Linked DNA regions of Xenopus tropicalis. The protein of the gene in region 5 interacts with the protein of the main gene of each other region in a biochemical or structural test. Links are inferred from orthologs where the notes say so. Each region holds a gene or a part of one and is shown on either strand. Other genes may lie near its edges. The genes, in order: pin1, atf3, sp1, batf3, jun, ets1 and atf2.

What was found.
Region 1: the proteins of jun (region 5) and pin1 form a complex in vitro, tested with the Homo sapiens proteins (2 studies listed by BioGRID). The link is inferred for Xenopus tropicalis from reciprocal best matches to the Homo sapiens genes JUN and PIN1.
Region 2: the proteins of jun (region 5) and atf3 form a complex in vitro, tested with the Homo sapiens proteins (2 studies listed by BioGRID and IntAct, with this or other methods). The link is inferred for Xenopus tropicalis from reciprocal best matches to the Homo sapiens genes JUN and ATF3.
Region 3: the proteins of jun (region 5) and sp1 form a complex in vitro, tested with the Homo sapiens proteins (2 studies listed by BioGRID). The link is inferred for Xenopus tropicalis from reciprocal best matches to the Homo sapiens genes JUN and SP1.
Region 4: the proteins of jun (region 5) and batf3 form a complex in vitro, tested with the Homo sapiens proteins (2 studies listed by BioGRID and IntAct, with this or other methods). The link is inferred for Xenopus tropicalis from reciprocal best matches to the Homo sapiens genes JUN and BATF3.
Region 6: the proteins of jun (region 5) and ets1 form a complex in vitro, tested with the Homo sapiens proteins (2 studies listed by BioGRID). The link is inferred for Xenopus tropicalis from reciprocal best matches to the Homo sapiens genes JUN and ETS1.
Region 7: the proteins of jun (region 5) and atf2 form a complex in vitro, tested with the Homo sapiens proteins (4 studies listed by BioGRID and IntAct, with this or other methods). The link is inferred for Xenopus tropicalis from reciprocal best matches to the Homo sapiens genes JUN and ATF2.

The regions. Positions count from the first base shown.
Region 1 is NC_030679.2:136,780,425-136,784,683, forward strand, and holds the start of pin1 (peptidyl-prolyl cis-trans isomerase NIMA-interacting 1), read right to left. Parts: upstream 2,801-4,259; 5' UTR 2,752-2,800; coding exon 2,694-2,751; exon of another isoform or gene 2,658-2,693; intron 1-2,657. UniProt on the Homo sapiens protein: Peptidyl-prolyl cis/trans isomerase (PPIase) that binds to and isomerizes specific phosphorylated Ser/Thr-Pro (pSer/Thr-Pro) motifs.
Region 2 is NC_030681.2:14,463,323-14,467,493, forward strand, and holds the start of atf3 (cyclic AMP-dependent transcription factor ATF-3), read right to left. Parts: upstream 2,801-4,171; 5' UTR 2,637-2,800; intron 1-2,636.
Region 3 is NC_030678.2:146,984,287-146,988,425, forward strand, and holds the start of sp1 (transcription factor Sp1), read right to left. Parts: upstream 2,801-4,139; 5' UTR 2,752-2,800; coding exon 2,745-2,751; intron 2,438-2,744; exon of another isoform or gene 2,090-2,437; coding exon of another isoform or gene 1,990-2,089; intron 1,663-1,989; coding exon of another isoform or gene 1,660-1,662; coding exon 1,580-1,659; intron 1-1,579. UniProt on the Homo sapiens protein: Transcription factor that can activate or repress transcription in response to physiological and pathological stimuli.
Region 4 is NC_030681.2:14,411,603-14,415,752, forward strand, and holds the start of batf3 (basic leucine zipper transcriptional factor ATF-like 3), read left to right. Parts: upstream 1-1,350; coding exon 1,351-1,406; intron 1,407-1,975; coding exon 1,976-2,138; intron 2,139-3,255; coding exon 3,256-3,444; 3' UTR 3,445-4,150. UniProt on the Homo sapiens protein: AP-1 family transcription factor that controls the differentiation of CD8(+) thymic conventional dendritic cells in the immune system.
Region 5 is NC_030680.2:86,738,570-86,742,508, forward strand, and holds jun (transcription factor AP-1), read left to right. Parts: upstream 1-1,272; 5' UTR 1,273-1,777; coding exon 1,778-2,716; 3' UTR 2,717-3,439; downstream 3,440-3,939. UniProt on the Homo sapiens protein: Transcription factor that recognizes and binds to the AP-1 consensus motif 5'-TGA[GC]TCA-3'.
Region 6 is NC_030683.2:72,029,909-72,033,147, forward strand, and holds part of ets1 (protein C-ets-1), read right to left. Parts: intron 387-3,239; coding exon 268-386; intron 1-267. UniProt on the Homo sapiens protein: Transcription factor. Directly controls the expression of cytokine and chemokine genes in a wide variety of different cellular contexts. May control the differentiation, survival and proliferation of lymphoid cells.
Region 7 is NC_030685.2:64,397,698-64,401,197, forward strand, and holds part of atf2 (cyclic AMP-dependent transcription factor ATF-2), read right to left. Parts: intron 2,530-3,500; coding exon 2,415-2,529; intron 1-2,414. UniProt on the Homo sapiens protein: Transcriptional activator which regulates the transcription of various genes, including those involved in anti-apoptosis, cell growth, and DNA damage response.

The DNA.
Region 1 (4,259 bases), on a different chromosome or scaffold from region 5:
GACAGCTATATTGATTATAAAGTACAGCAAGAGTATCTAGTACACAGGCAGTAAAGTAAAGCCAAAGTTTGCTATGTCAAAAGAACATTTATTCCCTGCTTACGTCTATACTCACAAGCAGCCATAACTGGGTATAAAAAAAAAAGCAGGAGAATTCATAGCATAGCGTTACTCATACATTAACATATCTGCTCATTTGATCTGAGCCAGATCGGATTGTTCAGATTGACTGGCTTCTGGGCCAATAAAAAGCAGATTCTAAAATGGCCCTATGCAGACCCATTAGTCAAGGACAACATAAACGCACTAATTCAGTTCTCGTCACCATACATGCATTTATGTATAATTTTTTTGTAAATAGTGCTACTTATGAATGCAGCACTGTACATGGGCCAATAAGCTGCAAACGATCTCTCCCTACTATTATCCCCCCACCGCTACTATAGGCACCATCTCTCCCTACTATACCTGCTATCCCACAGCCCCAGTCCCTTCCCAGAGGCTATTATCCCCCCACTGCTACTATAGGCACCATCTCTCCCTACTATACCTGCTATCCCACAGCCCCAGTCCCTTCCCAGAGGCTATTATCCCCCCACTGCTACTATAGGCACCATCTCTCCCTACTATACCTGCTATCCCACAGCCCCAGTCCCTTCCCAGAGGCTATTATCCCCCCCCCCCACTGCTACTATAGGCACCATCTCTCCCTACTATACCTGCTATCCCACAGCCCCTTCCCAGAGGCTATTATCCCCCCACTGCTACTATAGGCACCATCTCTCCCTACTATACCTGCTATCCCACAGCCACAGTCCCTTCCCAGAGGCTATTATCCCCCCACTGCTACTATAAGCACCATCTCTCCCTACTATTCCTGCTATCCCACAGCCCCAGTCCCTTCCCAGAGGCTATTATCCCACTGCTACTATAGGCACCATCTCTCCCTACTATACCTGCTATCCCACAGCCCCAGTCCCTTCCCAGAGGCTCTCTCTCCCTACTATATCTGCTATCCCACAGCCCCAGTCCCTTCCCAGAGGCTATTATCCCCCACTGCTACTATAGGCACCATCTCTCCCTACTATACCTGCTATCCCACAGCCACAGTCCCTTCCCAGAGGCTATTATCCCCCCACTGCTACTATAAGCACCATCTCTCCCTACTATTCCTGCTATCCCACAGCCCCAGTCCCTTCCCAGAGGCTATTATCCCACTGCTACTATAGGCACCATCTCTCCCTACTATACCTGCTATCCCACAGCCACAGTCCCTTCCCAGAGGCTATTATCCCCCCACTGCTACTATAAGCACCATCTCTCCCTACTATTCCTGCTATCCCACAGCCCCAGTCCCTTCCCAGAGGCTATTATCCCACTGCTACTATAGGCACCGTCTCTCCCTACTATACCTGCTATCCCACAGCCCCAGTCCCTTCCCAGAGGCTCTCTCTCCCTACTATACCTGCTATCCCACAGCCCCAGTCCCTTTCCAGAGGCTATTATCCCCCCACTGCTACTATAGGCACCATCTCTCCCTACTATACCTGCTATCCCACAGCCCCAGTCCCTTCCCAGAGGCTCTCTCTCCCTACTATACCTGCTATCCCACAGCCCCAGTCCCTTCCCAGAGGCTCTCTCTCCCTACTATACCTGCTATCCCACAGCCCCAGTCCCTTCCCAGAGGCTATTACCCCCCCCACTGCTACTATAGGCACCATCTCTCCCTACTATACCTGCTATCCCACAGCCCCAGTCCCTTCCCAGAGGCTATTACCCCCCCACTGCTACTATAGGCACCATCTCTCCCTACTATACCTGCTATCCCACAGCCCCAGTCCCTTCCCAGAGGCTATTACCCCCCCACTGCTACTATAGGCACCATCTCTCCCTACTATACCTGCTATCCCACAGCCCCAGTCCCTTCCCAGAGTCTATTATCCCCCCCACTGCTACTATAGGCACCATCTCTCCCTACTATACCTGCTATCCCACAGCCCCAGTCCCTTCCCAGAGGCTATTATCGCCCCACTGCTACTATAGGCACCATCTCTCCCTACTATACCTGCTATCCCACAGCCCCAGTCCCTTCCCAGAGGCTATTACCCCCCACTGCTACTATAGGCACCATCTCTCCCTACTATACCTGCTATCCCACAGCCCCAGTCCCTTCCCAGAGGCTATTATCCCCCCACTGCTACTATAGGCACCATCTCTCCCTACTATACCACGGCCCTTTCCCAGGGGCCACTGTACTAATTTAGGCCCCACTAAGGATCTCTGAAGGGCCTTGCCTGCTTGGCTCCTGACTGAAGACCATTCCCGAGCAGGATACATACAATACATAGCCACAAGGCACCATGTTAATCACAGACACATCAGCATCTAAGCAGGAACAGATCGAACTCTGACACAAATGACACTGAACAGATAGGTGCAGATACTAGGGCACCAGTCATGGCCCCATACAGTAGCAGAAGCAGTCAATGCTTAGCATTTCTTAGTCTGTTTACAGGCGACTAAATACTATAATGCGCAATGCAAAGTGGGAATTGTAGTTCTGCAGCTTTGCAACAGCACCTTTATCAGGACGCTATGCACAGTGCAAGACACAATAAAATAGGAACAGCTACAAAGCAAACCAGCGCTGCACTAACTCTATATAACAACTGTGCCCGCTACACTCCATATACCCGAGCTTCGACTCATGCGCTTCTCCCACCCGGGCGGTAGCTTCTCCTCGTCCGCCATCTTTCCCTCCTGCGTCAGGCCAAGCCCCGCCTACACAAACCACTCCGTCAGCTCGGCGCTTCTCATTGGTTAAGTCCCTGCTAAGCTTTTAGCCATTAAGCTAACTAATCTGCCGACGACGTAGTCAGCCTGAAAACCGAAAGCAAGGGCGGGAAATGATATGCGCCCACTATTGGCTGTAACGGAATAAACGGAGTAATTAATAAAACAAGGGGCGGGGCTGAGAGGTTGTACGCATTGGCAGCAGTATGACGCATGCGCAGAAATGTGTTCGCGTCTCTCTCTATTCTTACGCATTAAAATTGCTCTCACAAGCATGGGTGGCAGGTTAGCGGTTTTTCTGCCAAATTGGGCTACTAATTTAAAGCCCTGGTTTGTTTTTAAATTACAAACCCGCCAAAGTACCGTTTTGGACTAGTTTTTGGAGCCTTGGCGGGTTTGTAGTTTGGAACCTAGCCAGTTTTTTCCCCTAGTGTGCTTGTTCCACTGCATGCTGGGTAATGTAGTTTGTAGCTAACAATTAGCCTACAACTAGGAGTAATATAAAACTACAATACCCAGCTTGCAATTGGGCAGTTTAGCCAGAGGCTCCGTTTTCTATTCCTTTTTGCTCTTTCAGGCTCAACCTGTATGTTCTGCTCCCTGCTCTATAGGGTATGTGATGTGGGGGCAGGTCTGTAGTTATCTTGGGGCTGCTGAGAGTTGTAGTTGAACGCACCCATATTTATAAGTCTGGGGTTAATGCAAGATTCTGAATCTATTTCTGTAGCGACTTCCCAGCTGGACTGGGCACAGAGGGCAGGGAATTATCAGCCATTCCAGTAACTGGGTAGTGATTATATGCTTTAAAAAGGCAGGTTTTCCCATATGTACTTTTATTTTTGTAGAATTTTTTTCATTGCACATTGGGCTATTTTTGGGTTACTTTCAAAGTGGGTTTGGACTAGTATTTCACTGGTTTTAGAACTGACTGGCGATTTGGAAAAATAAATCTGGCAATTTCACATACAACCTTCCCTGGTGGTCTAGTGGTTAGGATTCGGCGCTCTCACCGCCGCGGCCCGGGTTCGATTCCCGGTCAGGGAAAGTGTGTTTTGCTTAATTGTAACAACAGCCCTTTATTTTATTGCTCAATCGTTTTTATAACAGCAGCCATTATTAAAAAAAAGCTTGCCAGCTTTATATATAATATAGAATAAAATAAAGATGATAGTTAGTGATATTTTATTGTGTGACGAGATCATGTATGGCAGCTTTGCATGCTCACTGAAACTGTAGGCGGATTTTTACAAGAGAACTGGGATGATAGTACATTACAGAGGGGCTGTAGTGGTAAATGGAAAGTTTCACAAGTGCCCGGCTAGCTCAGTCGGTAGAGCATGAGACTCTTAATCTCAGGGTCGTGGGTTCGAGCCCCACGTTGGGCGCAACTCTTTTCTTGCTGATCTACTTGGTGGGTATTATTTTACCTACAATTATCAGTTTGTTATAGCACCAAAGTTTAATAT
Region 2 (4,171 bases), on a different chromosome or scaffold from region 5:
CATTGTAAGCAGCAGTCCTGCCCTGCTTTATGGCTGAGATTCTAGCTATCTGTATAACAGAGCATTCCGTTACAGTGGCACAGATCCTATCTGATCCCCATTGCAAGCAGCAACTAATTAAAGGGGTAGACAAACAACAATCAAAATGTACCTATTATACTATAATATTATATTCTCCTATCTTTATATTATACTTCTTGGAACTGTTGATACATTGGTTGTAACTGTTGGCAATGCAGCTACTAAAGCACAGTAATGTGCTGCCCATGAGAGCCGGTGCTCCAGCTGCCAGATCCTCAGCTCTAACCACAATCCTACAGCTGGAATTCCTGCCGGAACCCTGAGTGTGCTGTTCCTGCTGGAATGTACCGCCACCTTGAGGCCAGTACGTACACAGGACACAGGAGGGAGAAGTGAAAGTATTAGGCAGCAGTTTCATCACCAGGCTGCAACTGAAACCTCCCAGCGCGGGACAAAGGCAGCCCGAGGTTATGTGTGTACTGGTACTGGGTGTGCCGGGCACTGAACTGGGCTGCCTCTCCCACACACACAGCCAACTGGCCCTTCACTTCTTCATACAGAGGGCAAAGCCCAAACTCTCTGCCTGCCGGGATCTCCCTTTGTCTCCAATGTAACAATAATGAGCTTAAGGGAAAAGTTCAACTAAACTGCACTCACAACTACCATCCCAACGGGGCACTCACGGTCATACACATATACTAACCCATTCCTACAGCAGAGAGGCACAGTGAGAGCGAGAGAGACAGATGGAAAGTAAAGAGACTGCAAGAGATACAGGTACCCAGATACAAGAGTGAGAGAAATAAAACAGGCATTCAACTAGATGAACAGCTACACGTGGATATATAGACATGGAGTGATATACAGATTACAGAAGATATATAGATGATGGGACATAGGTAAATGAGAAATATATATGGCTAGATATAGAGATAATAGAGGATATACACCTGAGGATATATATATATATATATATATATATATATATATATATATATATATATATATATGAGATATAGAAATGAAAATATAAAAATGGGATATATAAATGAGACTATATAGAGATACGTGGATAATGGGAGATATATAATGACAGAATAAAGCTGACATGAGATATACAGACAGGATATAAATAATGAGAAATAAATAAAAGATGGGAGCTATACGTATGATATGACAGATATCCAATTAATGAGAGTTATATTAAGATAGACAGATACATAGCAGATACATAAATATATATATATATATAGTTAATGAAACATATATAAAAGATAGAAAATATACAGATAATAAGAGAACTATAGATGATAGTTTTATATATATATATATATATATATATTTATATATAAAACTAACTATCATCTATAGTTCTCTTATTAAAACTATCATCTATAGTTCTCTTATTATCTGTATATTTTCTATCTTTTATATATGTTTCATTAACTATATATATATATATATATAGTTAATGACACATATATAAAAGATAGAAAATATACAGATAATAAGAGATCTATAGATGATGAACTATAATGTGAGATACATTGATGATGTGACAAAATGGGAAATATAGAGATGCTGAGATTGATGATGAGAGATATTTTAATGACAGATATATAGCTGATAAATGACAGTGTACAATATATAGTTAATGATATAAAAATTATAATATAGTGTTAAAAAGAAAAATATAAATAGGATTATATAGATGACAGGAGATATATAGATAAAGATGATATATAAATGAAACATATACTACATATTGGAGATATATAAATGGGAGAAATGGCAGATATATATATATATATGATGGTAGATTTATAAATAAGTAAAGTTATCACACAGCGACAAGTCCCAGGCAATACTGTAATATCCCCTCCAAAGATAAAATTATAAAGTTTCCCCCATGTGTAACACAGGGACCGGTGTGGGGGATAAAATGGGGGGATCAGGGGCCACTGCCCAAACTCAGGCAGCGAATAAGCAAAGAATAAAGGGTAAGTAAGCACAAAGTAAAGCAAAACTATATATATAAATGGGAGAAATGGCAGATATATATATTTATATATATATATATGATGGTAGATTTATAAATAAGTAAAGTTATCACACAGCGATAAGTCCCAGGCAATACTGTTATATCCCCTCCAAAGATAAAATTATACATTTTCCCCCATGTGTAACACAGGGAATAAAATGGGGGGCTCAGGGGCCACTGCCCAAACTCAGGCAGCGAATAAGCAAAGAATAAAGGGAAAGTAAGCAGCCCAGGCACAAAGTAAAGCAAAACTATATATATAAATGGGAGAAATGGCAGATATATATATATATATGATGGTAGATTTATACATAAGGAAAGTTATCCCACAGCTGGAATAAAGGGTAAGTAAGCAGCCCAGGCACAAAGTAAAGCCCCTGTAAGAGCCAATGAGCGAGTCCCGCTCCGGCAGCAGAGTAGGGAAGTTTCCCGGAGTTGGGACCGGGCTGGTTACACAACAAGCTAGAGGAAAGTAGAGGAGTAAGCGCTGCGGCTCAGCCTGCCCGGCGGGGAAGTAGGGACTCAGGAAGAGAGAAAGTTGTACCGTTCGAGGCTCTGCCTCCCCGGTCCTTACCGTGCTCTTTCCGTGGGAAGTGAGGGAGAAGCGTTGCCGCTGGCTGTACTACTCGGCTGCCCGTGTGCCTCCCCCGCTCTGACTGGGAGAAGCTGTGGCAGTGCAGTTGCATCACCCCTTTATATAGCCGCGCACGGAGAGCGGAGGAATGTGGCCCGCCCTGACGTCATTCTATTAATAGCCCAGGCGGTGATGCAAGCGGGGGGACCGGGGAAGTAGTGCGGGAGGGAGGAGCGGAGGGAGGAGCTACACAGACACTGGGGGGAAGCCTCTGGCCATAAGAGGGTCATTATTAACTCCTACACGGCAGCGGTATGAGCCAATGGTGCCCAGGCGGGGACAATGACTGCAGGCTGCTGGCATGTGACGGCGGGAGGAGGATCCCAGCAGGGAAAGAGCAGGAAGAGGGCGCCTTTGGCTTGTTTGGCTGTTTTTATTCCTTGTTACCCCAGCGATTCCCCGCCTGCTGCCTGGAGGCACACATAACAAACACATGGGAGGCGGATGGATTCTGCCCTGCACCGTGCTGTCGGGTCACCTTCCTAATCTGCCCCCCAGCTTCCTCTCCTGATGCCCCCCAGCCTTCCTCTCCTGATGTCCCCCAGCCTTCCTCTCCTGATGTCCCCCAGCCTTCCTCTCCTGATGCCCCCCAGTCTCCCTCTCCTGATGCCCCACAGCCTTCCTCTCCTGATGCCCCCCAGCTTTCCTCTCCTGATGCCCCCCAGCCTTCCTCTCCTGATGCCCCACAGCCTTCCTCTCCTGATGCCCCCCAGCTTTCCTCTCCTGATGCCCCCCAGCCTTTCTCTCCTGATGCCCCACAGCCTTCCTTTCCTGATGTCCCCCAGCCTTCCTCTCCTGATGCCCCCCAGCCTTCTTCTCCTGATGCCCCCCAGCCTTCCTCTCCTGATGCCCCCCAGCCTTCCTCTCCTTATGCCCCCAGCCTTCCTCTCCTGATGCCCCCAGTCTCCCTCTCCTGATGCCCCCCAGCCTTCTTCTCCTGATGCCCCCCAGTCTCCCTCTCCTGATGCCCCACAGCCTTCCTCTCCTGATGCCCCCCAGCCTTCCTCTCCTGATGCCCCCCAGCCTTCCTCTCCTGATGCCCCCCAGTCTCCCTCTCCTGATGCCCCACAGCCTCCCTCTCCTGATGCCCCCCAGCCTTCCTCTCCTGATGCCCCCCAGTCTCCCTCTCCTGATGCCCCCCAGCCTTCCTCTCCTGATGCCCCCCAGCCTTCTTCTCCTGATGCCCCCCAGTCTCCCTCTCCTGATGCCCCCTAGCCTTCCTCTCCTGATGCCCCACAGCCTTCCTCTCCTGATGCCCCCCAGCCTTCTTCTCCTGATGCCCCCCAGCTTTCCTCTCCTGATGCCCCCCAGCCTTTCTCTCCTGATGCCCCCCAGCCTTCCTCTCCTGATGCCCCCCAGCCTTCTTCTCCTGATGCCCCCCAGTCTCCCTCTCCTGATGCCCCCCAGCCTTCCTCTCCTGATGCCCCCCAGCCTTCCTTTCCTGATGCCCCCCAGCCTTCCTCTCCTGATGCCCC
Region 3 (4,139 bases), on a different chromosome or scaffold from region 5:
CACACAGAAAGATGGTAGAAAGAGTGACCACCTTACAGGAGAAGGCAGGCCAATGCACCATATGCTACGTGTGGCATTAGCCTTAGCTTACCCCAATGTTAGTGAGAGAGGTAATGGTGCAGGTGGGTCATTGCCCAGGCATGTTAGTGTGCATTCCCAGGAAAAACACACAGTATTACTTATTTTACATTAAAATAATAAATATAATGGAAAGTCAATAATGGAAGAAAATTTGTTGTCAAAAAAAAAAAAAACAAACAGCTTTGAATGGGACCTATTACCCTGAATGCATGGACCTAGGTTTAAGGGATTTGAGTAATTTGCATCACTATACAAAACACAAAAGAATTGTTTTGCCCCAGATTTATGCAGCTAAGATACTATCGATTACAAGCTACTGTTTTATTACAGAGAAAAGGGAAATCATTTTTATAAATTAGTATTATTAGCATAATATCACATCGAATTGCTTTCCCCACATCCTGGTGCAGGCTAATAGAGCCCGCACTCTGGTTGGGGGAAACACACACACATATAATATATATATATATGTGTGTGTGTGTGTGCTGCTCCTACGTCACACATTTGCGCACAATGAGTGAGGAGTCTTGCTCATTATGCACATGCACGCTAAATAACATGGCCGCCCGTGGGGGCTGTTTAAAAAAAAAAACCTATTGTTTTCCAGAATGCGGGCTCTAAAGCCTACACCTCTGGTGGCGGGAAGAAACTAAATGGTGATAGGTGCCCTTTAAACTTAGTTCTATGATGGTCTGCAAGCAATTTAGAGCTTTCTGGATAAGGGATTCTATAGCTGTAGCACTCTATTACATATACATGGTTCAGCGTTGGGAAGATATCCAACATCATCAGTTGGGGGCGCCACCTCCTGCGATGGCCTAAGACAGCACAAGCTGCAGAGATAACCATGCCTAGGTGGGTGTTGGTACAAAGACAGTACTACCCACAATGGAATAAACTGGGTGTGTGCTGTAAGTGATATTTTATTGTTGCACAATAGCAAAAATAACACTCAGTGAAATTTAGTGGAGCATTGCCTTTCCAGCCTTTGCTACAAATCTGAGCAGATTTAACCCTAACTGCCATTTACACTCGGCCCCCACCAGCCGAAGCAGCAGATGCAGTTGCTGAATTTAATTAAAAATGTAGCTGCCAATAAGATGCAAGACTGAACGTGAATGTCAATTTAACCCTTCTACGGCTATGTCCTAGGTGCCATTTGCAGTATTAGCAACAGCACAAAGAGTGCCAGCATGTAAACAAACCAGCATGTCAAGGAGACAGCCAGAGAGAGAACAGGAGGGACAGGGCTGGGGGGAAGGGTTTCTGGGGCCTGCCCCAAGTGGGCAGTCAGGAACAGGGGGTGGGAGGTTTGCCAGCCAAAGGGTGGGAGGACAGCAGCCATTCTCAAAGAGAAAGGAGGAAAAAAAAAAAGGCCTCAGCCCCCCTCCCCCATGCTCATCCAGTGTACAGGCAGCCAAGGCGAGAGGGCTGGATAGTTCCCAGGCATGGTCCCTGCCTATCTGTGTATAATGCAATATGGGTGGGTTCCGCTTACCTGCCCCTTCTGGATGTATCCACCTCCTGTCCGGTTTTCGGACTTTATCGTAGGCATGTCATCGGACGTGTGCTCCTGATCTGCTGTCAGCGAAGGGCACAAGCACAGAGAGAGAGTGTGTGAGTGAGGGCAGTGAGTAAACATGCACACACAGGCTTACAACATGGCCGGCCCTACTTCCCTGAGAAACACAAACCCCTCAGCTTAGAAACAGACTGCTGAACTACAACTCTCACAAACCTCTCAATACTGGAAGTGAAGAGACTCACAAACATGTTTCCCATCTATCAGCCTAGATAGCCTTAGCAGCACTGTTGTGGAACTACAACTCCCACAACCCTCTGTAGAGGAGTACGTTCTAGAAGTAAAATGATTTACAAATAAATATAAATGGTCTACATAGGCTTCACCTGCGAGTAATGGCAACTCCAGAGGCAAACTACAACTCCCAGCGGCCCCGTTCAGCAGGTTAATGAAGGGATCTACCGGATGAAGGTCCCTCCCATCCATACGATGTCAGTGAAACTGCCCGAGCTGAGGGCGGATAATGGTTTCAGGGGAACTACAGATACCCCACAGCTACGGATACTGGGAGTGTTTGGGCGCCAGAGGGGCAGATATCCCCAGTGTGAGGCAAGGATTGCTCTGGGCAGGGGGGGCTACAGAAGGAGGGCCGCAGGCTTCACATTATAGGCGAAGGCAACGGGTTCCGGGGAACATTTTAGGGTCACGTATTGCCCTTTCCCTGTGTCACGAAAAGTACCGGCTACCATGCTAGGAGGGGCGGGGGGCAATTTTACAATTCTACCCCACCCACCGAAGGGGGCAGAAAAACAGGGCGGGAGAGGAGGACAGCAGGGAGGGGTTCTACCGCCACAACCACCTCTCCAGTTATAGGGAAAAGTAAAAAGGGGGCGAGGAAGGAGAACGAACGAAGTAGTGAGGGCGGATATGACTTTATTTCTACACCCCCGCCTCCTCCTCCGGTGGTACCGGCCGCTCTCAGCATTCCGCCAGCGAGTCATGGCGCGCAGCAAAAAGCCCACAAAGTGGCCAGGGGGAGCGATCCCTCACACAAGCTGCGTGCGAGCAAGCCAGGAGGGGCTCTGGGATAAGCTTGCGAACCCGCGTTACCTCCCGCCCTTATGCCCACTCTCCTGCTTACCGCTCATGTTGTTTCTGGGGCCGTAGGTACTTCACACAAACCTCGGCTGACGATGGCAACCTAACCTGGCTGCCGCGCGGCGGAGACGGTGAGTAGGCGGGGCTACGGGCGGAGATCGACAGACCGCCTAACCACTCCCGCCGAGGGGCGGCTCCACCCGCCCAATGGGGTGGCGCGGTGGGTGCAGTTAGCTGGAGACTGACAGAGAAGGCTGACCAATTAGAGGTGGAGTGACCCCGCCCAGCCACGGAGGCGGTGTGTGATGGGGGAGGGAGATGAAAGAATGTGGCGGGGGTGGTGGCTCTCTAGTCTGAACCCTTCCCAAGGTTAGAGTGACACTGAAAAGGGCCAATCATAATCGAACGAAGTCCAAGGCGTTTCATTAAGTGACGAATCATACGAGAAAAGCAAGCAATTGAAGAGCTGTGTGAGGAGGGGAAGGGAAATTAAAGTTTGACTGGTCGTTGTAGGGTTTGGGCGCCATTTGCTGGAATTGCAGAATGTCGCTCTTTAATTATTTAGAATAACTGGCCACAGCTATTAAAGTATTCGTTTTTATTCGGCATCAGCCTACGTGCAAATAGGAAGCAAGATGGCAGCAGTCGGAGTTGCGACTGAGTGGCTACGTGACTAAAGGGGCCGCATTATCTGTAATACAGAGAGGGAATGATGGACGGGTCGTGCATAGAAAATAGCAGGTTTAGAATAAATATCAGAGTTACAACAATAAAAAAAAGTGACATAGGTTACATAAAGCCGAGCACAATATATAAGGCTTATTTTCTTTATTGGGCCACTTCTTCCAAATTGATATCAATAATTATTAAGCAGCCAGTCCAGTAAAGCATTGTCAGTCCTATCATTAATAGAAATATATTGCTCAATAAAAAATGAATGCCTTTTCTTGAGAAAACAGTCCTGGCTGTATTTATTAGATTGTAAGGGCTCTGGCACACGGGGAGATTAGTCGCCCGCGACAAAACTCCCTGTTCGCGGGCGACTAATCTCCCCGAGTTGCCTTCCCCTGCAAATCGGCGAAAAAGCCTCGCGAGGCAACTTCGGCGATTTGTGCTAAATCGCGCCGCCGCGTGTGCCATCCCACCGGCGACTTACATTTTCGCCGGTGGGATGGCAGGGGAAGGCAGCTCGGGGAAATTAGTCGCCCGCGAACAGGAAGTTTTGTCGTGGGCGACTAATCTCCCCATGTGCCAGAGCCCTAAAGGTGTAACTGAGTCCATCACCATTAAGCTTCCATTTTATAGTACAGTTTGCTGATGCTTCCATGTAGCTCAATTCCCATATTGCTTGAGGCAAAACGACATAGGGGCACATTTACAAAAGCGTGAACACTCCGAGCGTATTTTCGCCGATTTTTTCGGGCGTCCGCACGACTTT
Region 4 (4,150 bases), on a different chromosome or scaffold from region 5:
TGTATATACTCGAGTATAAACCTAGTTTTTCAGCACCCAAAATGTGCTGAAAAAGTCACCCTCGGCTTATACTTGAGTTGGGTGCCATGGGTCTCTCTAGACTAGCACCCTCTCTCCTTTGTGTGCAAATTAGGCCCCCCGCAACCAGACCCTCCAGTGCCCTGGCCTAGGCTCCCTGTAGCAATACTTATTTCCCCTTACATCTCCTCCGGGACTGGGTCTGCTGCCAGTTTGCCAATGTGCAATGATAGTGGGGTAGTACTCATATTGTTTTTGTTGACCCTCTTTAACACTTACAGAGCTAGTTTACTGTTTTTCTTTTAAATAAATATTTAAAGACATATACCCCACTGATGCCTCAATTAATGTAATTTACTGGTTTTTATTTTGATTATTGAAACTTAGCAGTAGCTAAGTCAATAAGTTTTTCCAGTTTTCTTAGGTAAAATTAGGTACCTCGGCTTATATTTGGATTGGCTTATACTCAAGTGGTATTCTGTATATTATGTATAAAGGTATATTGGTTAGTCCCTAAGCTGAGGTAAATGACAGCAGTCCAGAGCAGGTGCTGGGACATAGCAGGGAATTACTGGGGGCATCTTCAGAGGCACAGATCTTAACTTCTAAAGGGTTCTTGCCGCCTTGGACTGGTACAACATAAGGTGTAACATATCTATGTCAATTCTTTGTTGGGTTTTAGTTTTCCTTCACTTTAGCAGATTCTCTTGCTTTCCCATGGGGCCACAGTCACACCATCTAAAAAGAAGATCTGGCCTGCTGCCATTGATTGGATGGTGGGTAGGGCTGCCATGTTTCCTGGGGACAAGATACCAACATTGCTATGTCTGTTGTCTTTTCTTTCCTATTTGGCAGGAAGGGTCGGCTTGACTGACTGGTAAAATACTGGCCAGTTGGCAACCCTAGTGAGAGATCTAATGATGACAGACTGTGATCTTCTGCCCACCTACCCATCTGACTAAATCATACAATATTCACCTATAAGGTCTATAGACTGGTTATGCTTTTTAAATGCTCAAAATTAACAATTATTTCCTTTTTTAATTCCTAAAAAGAGAATCTTAGACAACCCACTTTCAGAACTGAGTATTAAATCTTTCCTCTGTGTTGTGGTTGAACTCCATTAGTAAGAGCTCAAGAGCTTAGCAGTAAACAAACTCGAATGAGCTGAAAAGGAAGTGGCTTGTTCATCAGAAACACTTGCGGCAGAGCTCACACTTACTCACTGGGTGCAGTCGCAGCCCTTTACTTACACATGAAACCTGCCTATAGGAGAGGATCATTGAATGTCTGTGCAGAATCCAATTAGCTGGCATCTCCCCCAAGCCTGGCATGAAGGTTGTAGACTTGGCTCTGGGCATCCTGATGGTCAAATGCATCTTTGTGTGGTTGTCACAATGTTTGGGTGGTACAGTGACAATGCCAAGAGATTGCAGTGTTTGGTCAAACTGCTTTATACTTTTCACAGTTCTAGAAATACATGTATGGGGCCTTTTATCCGGAAACCCATTATCCAAAAACCTCCACATTACGGGAAGACCATCTCCCATAAACTCCATTATAATTGAATAATTTTTATTTATTTATTCAATTTTTCTCAGTAATAATAAAACAGTACCTGTACTTGATCCCAACTAAGATATAATTACCCCTTATTGGGGGCAGAACAGTCCTATTGGGTTTATTTAATGGTTAAATGATTCCCTTTTCTCTGTAATAATAAAACAGTACCTGTACTTGATCCCAACTAAGATATAATTACCCCTTATTGGGGGCAGAACAGCCCTATTGGGTTTATTTCATGGTTAAATGATTCCCTTTTCTCTGTAATAATAAAACAGTACCTGTACTTGATCCCAACTAAGATATAATTACCCCTTTTTGGGGGCCAAACAATCCTGTTGGGATTATTTCATGTTTAGATCTTTTTTTAGCGGGCATGGTGTTCCAAATAAAGGAAATGCACCTATAAATGCTGCCTATACCCACTTTACACTCTCCTCTCTCTCTTTCAGAGCTCAGATACCAGCGACAGGAAGGTTCGCAGGAGAGAAAAGAACAGAGTTGCTGCCCAGAGAAGCCGGAAAAAACAAACACAGAAAGCTGACAAACTGCATGAGGTACAGTACAAGGGTTGGAAACCCATCATCCTTTTAGATATTGCTGAACTACAGGTCCAGCAGCCATCTATAGGGGAGCAGGTTGCTTGCTTTTGCAATGGTTCTTCCTTGCATACCTTAAGTGGAGGGGTTTACTAGGAAATTGATATGGTTTGGTTGGAATGGGGTATGGCTGGTTGAAAGTAGGCATAGTATATTTGAATCACAACCGCAAATATCTCCCAATTTAAACTGGGAATAACGGGATGCAGTGGTCCCAACTGACCCAATATAATCTAGATTCCAGTGGGATAGGAGGTTTGTGGGCTGTGCAAGAGTGGAGCACAAGCACATGGTGGACGGGACTTGGAAATATTTTTTTGTTGCTTTTGAAACAGATGTCTTTGAATTCAAAGGAAAGCTAAAAATAACAATTAGAAGTTTGCTCTAGTTCTAGTAACCCACAGCAACCAATATATGACCTGTATTTATAGTAAATTGAGCCATCTGGTTGCTGTGGGTCAGGCCCAGACTGGCAATCTGTGGATTCTGGCAAATGCCAGAGGGGCTGTAAGGTGCCACAGTCACTATTTATTGGGCTGCTGGGGGCTGTTTGTACCTCTGTGTAATTGAAATGGGTCCCAGTGCTGACCTGCTGTGGGTAACAGGAACTGGAGGAAACACAAATTGTATTCTCCTTCTACTCTTAAGGTCCCCATACACGGGCCGATTATAGCTGCCGATATCGGTCCCTTGGACCAATTCGGCAGCTTATCGGCCTGTGTAGTGGCAGAACCGAGGGGCCTGGCCGACCGATATCTGGCCTGAAATTGGTTGTTCGTTGATGCGGCCCCCGATCCGACTGCCCCATTGCCGCGTGTAGAATTCACCTACATGCCTCCCCGATATCGCCCACCTGTAGGTGGGGATATCGGGTGAAGATCTGCCCATGTATGGCCAGCTTTACAGCCATACAACCAGTAATCTGTCATTTTATTTTCATGATAGTTCCCCATTAAGCCTTAATACAGGTGAGGGAGTAGCCCATACACAAGATGACGTTTCCCATACATCAGCAGTGACAGATCCTAAAAGGACCACTTTCTCTCTAATGAACATTGTTTCTCTCATTTGACAGGAATATGAATGTTTGGAACAGGAAAACTCATCCTTGAAGAAGGAAATCGGGAAACTAACAGATGAACTGAAACATCTTAGCCAAATTCTGAAGGACCATGAGCAAATATGCCCGTTTCTGCACTGCCCAGTGAACTATGTGACGGTGCCCCGAGTGACAGATGCTGTTCCTGGCTGTTTGCCGCGGTGACTTCCTGGCTGTGAATGTCATTTCCTCTTTGACCTACGGCCACATTTTCTGCTGTATCCTGAAGCCAACAGAATCCCCCCCCCCCCCCCCCCGGTGCATGACGCCATAAACACCTCTGTGATTGTTACTGCAGGGAAAAGACAAATATGATGGAATCGACAACTTACCTATCACTGTTCCATGTCCTGTAAACCAAGATGGCTCCTGGAAATGAGAACTTGACCTCCTGGTTTCTACTGCTGCTTTGTCTAAGGAAGGCCAAGCGCTACACCCCCTTGTTCTACATGAGCGCAATGAATAGGGCTTGTGCTGAACATACTTTTGGATTATTGTTTTTTTTATCAGAAGAAATCTATGATTTTTGTTATTTCTCAAGCTAAATAAGGAAACTAAAGCTGCTCTATGTTTGTTACTTGCAAGAATGTTATTACCAGTATTCAACCCCCTCCCTTCCCCTTTGTTGTGACTGTTCTGTTAGGAGCAGCCTATTATGCAGGGAGATTATCTGTGCACTGGAATCGAATTATCTACTTCTATCTACTATTTATGCACCAAACATGGAGCAGCGTCAGTTTCCCTGTTTTCTCAAGAAACATCAAATAACATAGATTTTTCTTAGTTAAATTAATAAACAAAAATTATGTTTAGCCCCCTATTCATTTGTTTATTTTATTTCCCCTACTTTCTAACTCAATATAATTAATCC
Region 5 (3,939 bases):
TATCATGGAAGCTGTAGCTCAGCAGCTGTTAAGAGTGGGTTTAATACTCAAGATCTCTATCAATTTCTAAGGATTTTCTATTCACTTTGGTGATAAACCAAATAGCCTGCCTGCTCTCTACCCATAAAAGCCAGTCTCCGTTCTCATGGATGCAACCTGATCTCCTGTAAACTTTTTAAGCCTCCCCAGCGCTCCCCCTACCTCCTTCACCCTGCTTCCAATCATCCTTTTTTTACTTTCATCAACGCCCACATCATAATCTACACACCCACCCACCAATAAACTCCCTCCCCCACCAAATTAAAAAAAAAAAAAAAAAAAAAAAAAAAAAAAAAAAAACTTTCCCTCACCTTTTCTCCCTGGCTATCCACCCCAGTGCAGAAAGGCATGATCATTAGAATGTAGCACATGCCTACACAACACTGGGACCCTTTTAATAACAATGATGCTATACAGCCTTACATGTTCTCTGTCACTGACACTGGTGTATCTATGCAATGTTGCGATCCTCAAGCTCTTGTTGAACTCCTAGTCACATACAGCCCCACCCCCACACACGGACCCGCAATGGCCGGAGGGCTGCAACTTGGTCTCCCCCGTGTCCTACACAAAGTAAAACAGCGAAGAGAACAATAACTATAAAGCCAGTAAAACTATACCACACTAATAACATTCTACCGAAAATAACCAGTTGTTTCAAAACTACAACTCCCAGCAACCACTACCACATTTTAGTTCGGCAACTAACAAACAACATATTGAAAAACCTGCCATACTGATCGCTTAAACCTGTGGAAATAATCTGTTTCAACTCTGAGTTTTCAGTTTCACCAGCCGACAAACACAGCCCAAGTCCTCCGGTTCCTTATGTGACAGACAACCATTACAACCATATCGCGCTTTGCTAGGAAAGGGATGAGTCTCCTCCGCGGCTTACGACTACCATACAATTGCCTCAAGCCCCTGTCCAGTACCAGGGGGTGAGCGGAACAGCCCTTATGGCGGGAAACCCACGTCAAACTACCATCCCAACTACCAAAGCAAGGAACGGGCACCGCCAACAACAATACGTCAGCCCACAATGCCCAGCGGCAAAGGAGCATTACCTCATCCCATGAGCCTTCGCGAGAGTTAGAATCTTCTAGGGCGGTCGTCATAGCGACCGAGGCTCATTTGGCCTCGCTGGCCCGCCTCCCTTCCCAAGGCTCAACCAATAGCAGGACGTTGGGGTGACATCATGTCTATTTTTAGTGGGTGACCGCTCGCAGATAAGTGTTAGCTGCACGCTGTCCCACAGCCCAGTACAAGTGAGTAGAGCTCACACTGACAGCACTTGTGGCGCTTGGGGAGAAGGAACGTCTAACTTCTCAGTGACTTCTTCCTTGTGTCCGTGTGCCTGACACCTATACTGGGCACACGCACACACCCAGCGCTCGCCATTACATATCTCCGGCGGCGCTTTGGAAACTTTCCCGGGAGTTTATAAGAACTTTTGTGGCGTTCGGAGTACGAGGACCTCTTTGCTGCTAGAGACACAAAGTAAGTCGCATTTATTTCTGTTATGTGCCAGGCTGGGAGCAGTTGTGCTTGAACTCTCACTACGGGACACTGCCAGTTGTAGTTCGGCAGGCGAAGCATAAGTTCCATTTAGAAGAGGGGTGGAGGTGCCATGGGGTTCGGTGTGTCAGCTAACAACCTGTTCGCTCTTCTCTCTAGGCTGGTGCTGGTGTCACACTAACGTAAGGTCCAGTCATCGTCCCTGTCCGGCATCCGTTCTATGACTGCAAGGATGGAACCTACTTTCTACGAAGATGCCCTGAGTGCTGCTTTCGCCCAGCACGATGCTACTCCCTATGGTTACAACAAGGTGCTGAAGCAAAGCATGACCCTGAACCTGTCGGACCCCAGCAGCGCCATCAAACCTCACCTGAGAAACAAGGCAGCTGAACTGCTCACCTCCCCTGATGTTGGGCTTCTCAAGCTCGCCTCCCCGGAGTTGGAGAGGCTTATCATCCAGTCCAGCAATGGCATGATTACCACCACCCCGACCCCCACCCAGTTCCTGTGCCCCAAGAATGTCACAGACGAGCAAGAAGGCTTTGCAGAGGGGTTTGTTAGGGCACTGGCAGAACTCCACCATCAAAACAACTTGCCAAGTGTAACCACTGCCACCCAACCTGCCAGCACGGGACTGACACCTGTATCTACTATTGCTGGAAACACTGGCTTCAACAATAGTCTTCACAACGAGCCCCCTGTGTATGCCAATCTAAGTAACTTTAACCCAAGTACCATCACCACATCATCGCCTTTTAACAGCAACACCATGGGGTATACCGGCCAACATCAGAGTAACCCACCAATACCCGTGCAGCACCCCAGGTTACAGGCTCTGAAAGAGGAACCACAGACTGTACCTGAAATGCCTGGGGAGACTCCTCCACTGTCCCCTATTGACATGGAGTCCCAGGAAAGGATAAAGGCTGAAAGGAAGCGTATGAGGAATAGAATCGCAGCATCTAAATGCAGAAAAAGGAAACTGGAGAGGATTTCCAGGTTGGAAGACAAAGTTAAAAACTTAAAATCCCAGAACTCTGAACTGGCATCCACTGCCAACATGCTTAGAGAGCAAGTAGCCCAGCTCAAACAAAAAGTCATGAATCATGTCAACAGTGGGTGTCAGCTAATGTTAACACAGCAGATGCAAACATTCTGAAAAGGCTTCTTTGGGAAAGAGATGTGAGAATTATTTTGTGGAGGGAAATAGTTTCATGTTGAAACTCCCTGGCTCAAAATGAAAGGCACTGAGACCTGACTGTTCTACGTGCGTGTGCGGGGAGTCCTGACAAGCCTTTAGGTGGAGCCTGTGGCAATGCAACAAGCAGTATCACTTGTCAAGTGCTGTTCCTGCTCTAATGAAACATCAGATACATGTTTAACATTGACCAAGACCTGCATGGACCTAACATTCGATGATCATTCAGTATTAAGAAAAGGTTAAACTGCTAGAGACACTAGATTGCTTCCGTAGTTTTCTTACAAAGGGAGGGTGTGGGAGGGAGGCATACGGGACATTGAAAAGTAAAATTAATGACAAATCTGCCTGCCTTCTACATAACTGTGTATGTGTACATATTTGTTTTTTTTATTATAATATTAAGAAAAACTGAATTATTTCAGTAAAATTGCTTCAAGCATTTGTAAGTTATTTTTATGTTTGGGTTAATAAACCCACTACTTTCTGTAAATAAGAGATATTGAGCACTCTTGAGTTTACCATTTGTAATAAAGTATAATAATTTTCTATGTTTTTGTTTCTAAGGACAATTCCAGACGTTCAATTATATTTAAGATATTAAATAAAAGATGTGGAAATTAGATTTTTTTATTTATATTGATATTTTTTTTTACACTGCAATAAACGTGCATGTTAAACTATCTCCTGTGTATAGTACTTGATATATTGCATGAGTCTATTCAAGGGTATTATATTTTGACAATTATTTGATATGGGTATTGGGCAATATAAAAGTAAAAGCAGAAAAGAACATACTGACCAATATTTTCTTTATATCATAGCACTTGGGGTTATTTATATATGCTATTATAAAGTTCTGGGCTTTTGGCAAGAGTTTGCTGCTGTTATTATATGTTTGAGGGGTTAGGAATGGTTTACAGTATTCTCCAGCCTTATTGGCTAAATAATCATTTCCAAATTGTGCACCACAAATACCAACTGGTTGCCAGCCCTCTTCAATTTTACAAATTGATAAATAGTTGCTTTTCCTAAGTTTATTGAAAAAAGAAAAGTGTAACAAATTGATATAGTAGTAGTAACTAAAGTAGCTACTGATGAGAATATACCAACTAATTTATTAAACTGTAGCATTTTAGAGTCCTTGTTTCTTAAGGTGCTACTGGGAAACACAAGAGGTGTGA
Region 6 (3,239 bases), on a different chromosome or scaffold from region 5:
GAAATATACATTTATTCATAGAAGTTATTTCTTTAGGGTCTCTTTAAAGCTTTTAAACATCATACAGACATGTGGCAAATGGTGACCATATCCTGATTATCCTGAATGGGCAATCATAAACATAGAGGTGCATGCACTAAAGATTTAGCAGCTGATGTAGATTGGGTGTATAAATCCCAGGCAGGCTTGTGCACATACCCCGAGTCTGACTTGAATGTTGATTTCCTACTGGAAAACATCTGCATTTATTGCGTCACCATAACCTACCTCATCTGGATCAGAGAGCTTAAATTCCCAGCCGTCCCCTGTCCAGCTGATAAAGGACTGGCACGATTTGTCTGTCAGTAACTCCAGGAGAAACTGCCACAGCTGGATTGGTCCACTTCCTATAAGGAAATAAGAAATGAAAGATAGCTGAATCTGGTTCTTGTTCCCTTTCTAAGACCTCTTAATGAAAAGTTCAGAATTGTATGGTTACATTTTGGGGGATAAATCTCAAATATCAACAGTAATCGATGTACACACATAAAAATAATTAACTTAATGGAAAACAATACCCCCTAAACAATGAGGGTCTCTATAAAAATCTAAAAAAAAAAAACAAAAACAAAAAAGCCCATATGTTAAGCAAGCTTAATCCAAATACAACATTTTCATAAAAATGAACTTTTCTAGTAGTAAGTGTTACTGGATAATCAAATAGAAAAACTGTAATTTTAAGTACTATGTGCTGCCTCCTGGGAACATATGATTCACAGTGCACACAAACAAACCAAGGGCACACATACATGTTAGGTCACATCAGCCAATGAATGGGCAATGTTCTGTCTTTAACCCTCACACTTCTTCCTGTTACAGTAATATATATATACCATGACTTCAGAGGATACAAATTATTTCTCAATATAAAAGAGTGTGCGATAATCTCTGAAATTTGGGTTTCATATGGTCTCTTGCTACCTCCTCCTATGTCTAAACTGATAAACTCTCCCCCTCACACATTTTCACACAAAAAAAGCAGGTGCAGTGACAGGCTTTTTCTCAAGCCATATCACAACAGAATTTTTATGTTATAGAGGCAAGAGCCCAACCACGTGTACCACTCTTCTTCTTACAGCTCTTACCATACATCCATCTAAAAATAAGCCTGCTAATAAATATGAACTAACACTGACTCACCAGCAAATATGAGGTTCCTGTATTACTCAGTGTGGCCCGGCTAATGTCCCAACCAAGCACACTGTATAAGAGTGTATAAGAGTATAAGAGCTTGCTGGGGTATAATAGAATAGAGCTTTAGAAGAAATGTGAAATTACCTTTTCTCTATCAATTACTTTACGAACTATGTCAAATAATCAAGCAATATCCATGTTATGTGCTCTAGGATTTGTATAATTTATCTAAGAACGGATTCCCAAGCATGACTGAACATTTTTTTTTACCCAAGGCCTACAGACATGCATAAAAGACCAATGAAAACAGCACACTTCTGTACTTCACTCTATCCCAGTGACACATGCCCTCAATAGGGTTCAAAGTCTATACCCAGTCAATGGGACTCACATGCTATTCCTGTGCACAATAAAGCCTCTGTTTTGGCAAGGCTGGCCATGTCAGAAAGAGCAGTGGGGTGATTAAATCTGTCACATGTTAGGAATGTGGCAATCTCATTGGGAAAAAATGTCTCCCTATTCAGACACTTGGTGGTGCAAGGGAGGGGTAAGAGAACTCTTGCCTAAAAATAACCTCAAGACAGTACACTATTCTGTCCCACATTTTCCTATATGTCCATCTTAGAATGCTGTCTGGCCCTTTGAGAAGAAAGATAAAAATGTTTATTATTAAGCAGACATTATCACAGCACGACTAGAAAAAAAAAAAAAAAAAAGCAAAAGACATGTTGGCTGTGTTGTACAGACAAAGAGTCTAATATGTACCCATCCAATGTTAAATGTATTGCATTAGTACCGAATGCTTAGTGTATGTCATATTCACTTGAGTTTAAGCGCATTGTGACCCGTGCACACTTTTGGCTCCAGATTTCAGGCCACAGCTGTTCTGTGCCATGACCACAAGCCCCATGAGTGTACGGCGAATGGAACATTCTCAGGCTCAAGATGACTTTTTCTCTCTAAGTTAGAAAATATTTTTTGTAGATATCTACTAGCTTAGCATGCGATAATAACTCCTTCATTGCCAGAGTTGTCTCTAGCCTGCTGTTTTGTCTTTAATCATCACAACTACTAACCTTGAGTTGCTGATAGCCTGTGACAATTAACACAAAGTATAACATAAAACTGCTGAGTTGCTAAGCTGAGTTGCTAATGTTAAGCAAGCAATTAGCACATTGGTGCTCTGTACACACAAGGAATGGAGACCCTGTAACCACTGCTCACTGCATATCTAGAAGCGACTGCATTCCAAAACAGACCCATTGTGTTTGCATCACTCTACATAGGTTTAGGCTTGGAACCTCATGGCATGCCCTGGATTCTACAGGGCCAAAACCAACAGAAAATTCCAAGAGAAAATTACAGAAACCTGCTGTTTGCATATTTAACCTATTACTATAATCAAAAGCTTGGTTACATTTGGTGAACAAACCGGGCTGTGTAAACATCATCAAGATCAAGATGGCTGCAGCTAAACACAAAGAGCAATAAATCACCATCAATCAGGCATAGTTCTAAACTGGCAGCGAACAGATACTTCAGCATGTCAGTAAAAATGAACACTTATTTATATAAGGTTCTGGCCCTTTAATAACTTGCCTTAAAACAATAATTTGCTCTTATGCTGAATAATGACCACAGTTAAGAATAATATTAATACTAATAATAATACTACTACTACTAATAATAATAATAATAGAATTCTGTTTATGATGAGGATAACAGGAAAATAGTTTTTGTGAACTTCTTCGTTACAACACTGGAGGTTGGGTGTCATTTTAAAGCAGTTCTTTTATAAGGCTGAAAACTGATGCTTTAATACAAATCCCGGGTGACAGGGAATGCAACTTACAATAAGAATGGGTCTGATCACTTTAACATAAAGAAAATTTCCACCTGAAATATCCAACATGAGAGTTGTCTGGTCTACACATAAAAGATGACTCTCCAAACCCAAGTCATGAACCAATACACGGCAGAAAGAATCCAAGTATAATTTAGATCAGTAAAGACATTATAGAAGGTTGAGACAAGAGATTAGGATGAATGGTAAAGAAAAGATATGA
Region 7 (3,500 bases), on a different chromosome or scaffold from region 5:
TGTAATATGCTCTTATAGGAGTAAGCACAGCAGAATAAAAGTAGAATTGTGCCTACAGCTATCTGCAAAATACTGTGTTAGAATTCTCCACTGTGTTGTTAACTAGTCGGCTTTTCCCACCGCTGGTAACTGGCCACTCCCTGACGCCTAAGGCTAGGTTCTCATGTTGTGGGCCCAAGTATGCATTAATTACATGCTAAACTCAAGTTCTGTATCCCAGCAAACTGGGTAAATTGTAGATAACCCTGATAGGTATGTGAAGTTAAGGTTGACTTTCTGGGACACAGTTAAATGAGTATATATGCAGAGTCCCATCATCTATCAACATTCTAATTTTCATGGTTTTTGAGGTTCTTAAAACCATGAACAAACTCATTTTCTCTAAAACCACAAATGCCAATGAATTCATTAATACAGCCTTTTTTAAAAACCATGAACAAAAAAAAGTGGAAAAAATGTGAAAAACACAAATTTTTCATTTTGTTGCACATATAAAGAGTAAAAAACCCCAAAGCAAAGAAAGACTGTTTCAATTTGTCTAGGACAGCTCCCTTTGACCTCAACAGCTTTTAGATGACGTATTTTTACTTTTAGATTTGTTGCCGTTTTTACACATAATAAATAGCAAAAAAAAAAAATGATGTTTTTCTGCAACAAAAAAAACCCAACCTTTACTAAGCTGGTCCCTAACTATAGATTTGCTTTCTCCTTTCACAGTTACTAGTGTGAGGGATCTTACAGTAATGTTTAGCAACATACCTTAATGCTACTAATACATATTTAACCATAAAAAACACCAACAGGAGAGGTTTTTCCATCAACGTGGATTTATGGAGCATCCCATGTACAAGACACTGTTTTATTATTAAAGAAAAAAAGGGAAATCAGTCACAAACTATGAACAATTTGTTCAAATAGGACTCTGTAAGAAGTGGCAGTACAGGTATGAGATCCCTTATCCAGAAACCCGTTATCCAGAAAGTTCAGAATTACAGACAGCCCGTCTCCCATAGACTCCATTATAAGCAAATAATTCTAAGTTTTAAAAATGATTTCCCATTTCTTTGTAATTACAAAACAGAACATTGTACAGGTATGGGATCCCTTATCCGGAATGCCATTATCCAGAAAGTTCCGAATAACAGAAAGGCCATCTCCCATAGAATTATTTGCTTATAATGGAGTCTAATTTTTAAAAATGATTTCCTTTTTCTCTGTAATAATAAAACAGTGCCTTGTACTTGATCCCAACTAAGATATAATTTATCCTTATTGGAGGCATAACAATCCTAGTGGGTTAATTCAATATTTAAATGATTTTTAGCAGACTTAAGTTATTGAGATCCAAATTACGGAAAGATCCCTTATCCGGAACCCCCCAGGTCCCAAACATTCTGGATAACAGGTCCCATATCTATACTTGATCCCAACTAAGATGTAATGACCCCTTATTGGAGACAAAACAATCCTATTGGGTTTATTCAATATTTAAATGGTTTTTAGCAGACAAGTTATAGAGATCCAAATTACAGAAAGATCCCTTATCCGAAAAATCCCAGGTCCTGAGCATTCTGGATAACAGGTCCCATACCTGTACCATATTTTTGAGCTTGCTGGGTAACACATTTCCAGATAACAGATCCCATACCTGTACTATTATTTTCAATCTTCATTTATATATGTATTATCTTTCACAAGAGATGAGAATATTAAAATTAATATATTTAGTCCAGTTGTTTTGTTTGCGCAGCTTCAATTAACATTTTGTTGTGATCTACTCCAGCAGCACAACCATTTAGTCTAAAGGCACACGGGAGTATTTCAACCACTTGGAGTGCCAGGTTCTTAAGGGAACCCAAAACCAGCCACTATTGCATTAATGTTGTGCATGGGAATTTCAATGAAGCCTACATGGGCCGGCATTAAAGTTTAGACTCGAGAAACTGAAATATAATGAATTAAATAGGGCTGGATTTAGGCCTGGACCCCGATTTAAGTACAACAAAGTTGTAAACCAAAATAAAAAAACATGACTATACTTTACCATGCTGCATTTGTCAAAACTAAGACAAACTGCCCCCATCCCAAAAACTATAGCACTTTGCACAGCTTTATCACAACATACAAAAAGCACTAATGTTGTAAGAAATAGCTTTTCCTTAAGTTAAATACACATTTTTACTTAAGATGCCTATAGATTGATGCATTCACATATTAAAATTAAAACAAAGACATTTCCTTAAAAATATAAATAATCAGATATTGTCTCTTAGGAAAAATAAAAGAATTGGATAAAAAAGGTCAATGTTAGTGTGTGATGAACAAGGGAAAAGAAACAGCACACAGCAAAGACTGGTGGATCAGCACAATAACATTACTAGGAATATGGAGTATTCACACACATACAAACTTACTGGGACTGAAGCAGGTATGTGTACATTGGAATTTGTGATTGAGGCAGGAATAGCAACAGGCATGGTTTGTCCATTAGGAAGATGTAACAATAGAGGAAAAGGAGCTGGAACTGGTCTGAGGATAGAAAAAAAAAGCAGGGATGCTAACCTTAAAAACAAGGCAACCACAGACTTTGCACATCCAAAATCAGTGATCAAATGTACGTTATCCTTTTAAACACTGATCTATGTCTTGGAACATTGGCAACATTGGTAATTATTAGGTTTCAGCCAGGACATAGAAAGCCTATTTTTACAATACAATCAGGAGCCTTGGACTGCAACCCATTAGGAAATATCAAAGATATCAAATTATTGTACTGTTGAATGTTTATTTTAGAACATTAAAAGCGTATGCCCAAAACAGAAATGTGTTAGAGCTCTTAGTTTAGAGTTAAACTACATGCCTGCCATTTCTGGGTGACGTGTCAACTTAGATTGTAAGCTCTACAGGGCAAGGGCATAACTCAGACGTTACTGCAGCAGAAATACAGAGCTCATTTACTTGCAGTATGGCATCTTACCAGCTTTTCATGGAGAAATTTTTTTTTTTATATATAAGCAGAATAACAGTTAAATTAAATATATGTCAAAATTTGGCTGAGGAACTGTTCCATAGCTTATTTTTCTCCATGAGAATGTATACTTTCCCTTTACAGCAAACAAGTGCAAGTATTTTTAAGTTACACACTTCAGTGCGCTATACATGATAGGCATGCCTACAAATTACAGACTTGTAGAATTAATTTTTGCATATTTCCATGAACACAGTCAATGAAAACAGTCACAGTCAATGTAATTAGTTCTGTGAGCAGTCACTTTGTTATGAATTTTAAACTTTTTTCACACCCAAAATGCTCTGTTTATTAAGGGGAAGGTTAAATTAAAGGTTTTTATTTTTGTATTAAGAAGCAGGACAGCTATGCCACTTTCTATGAGTTGCTTGGCTGACATACAATCTTTATTAAATCCAAACTTACTTCCAGGGTTCCACCAGCATGGCCTGTCTTATCCATGCCCAGCAGTTATCACATGCCCAGCAGTTAT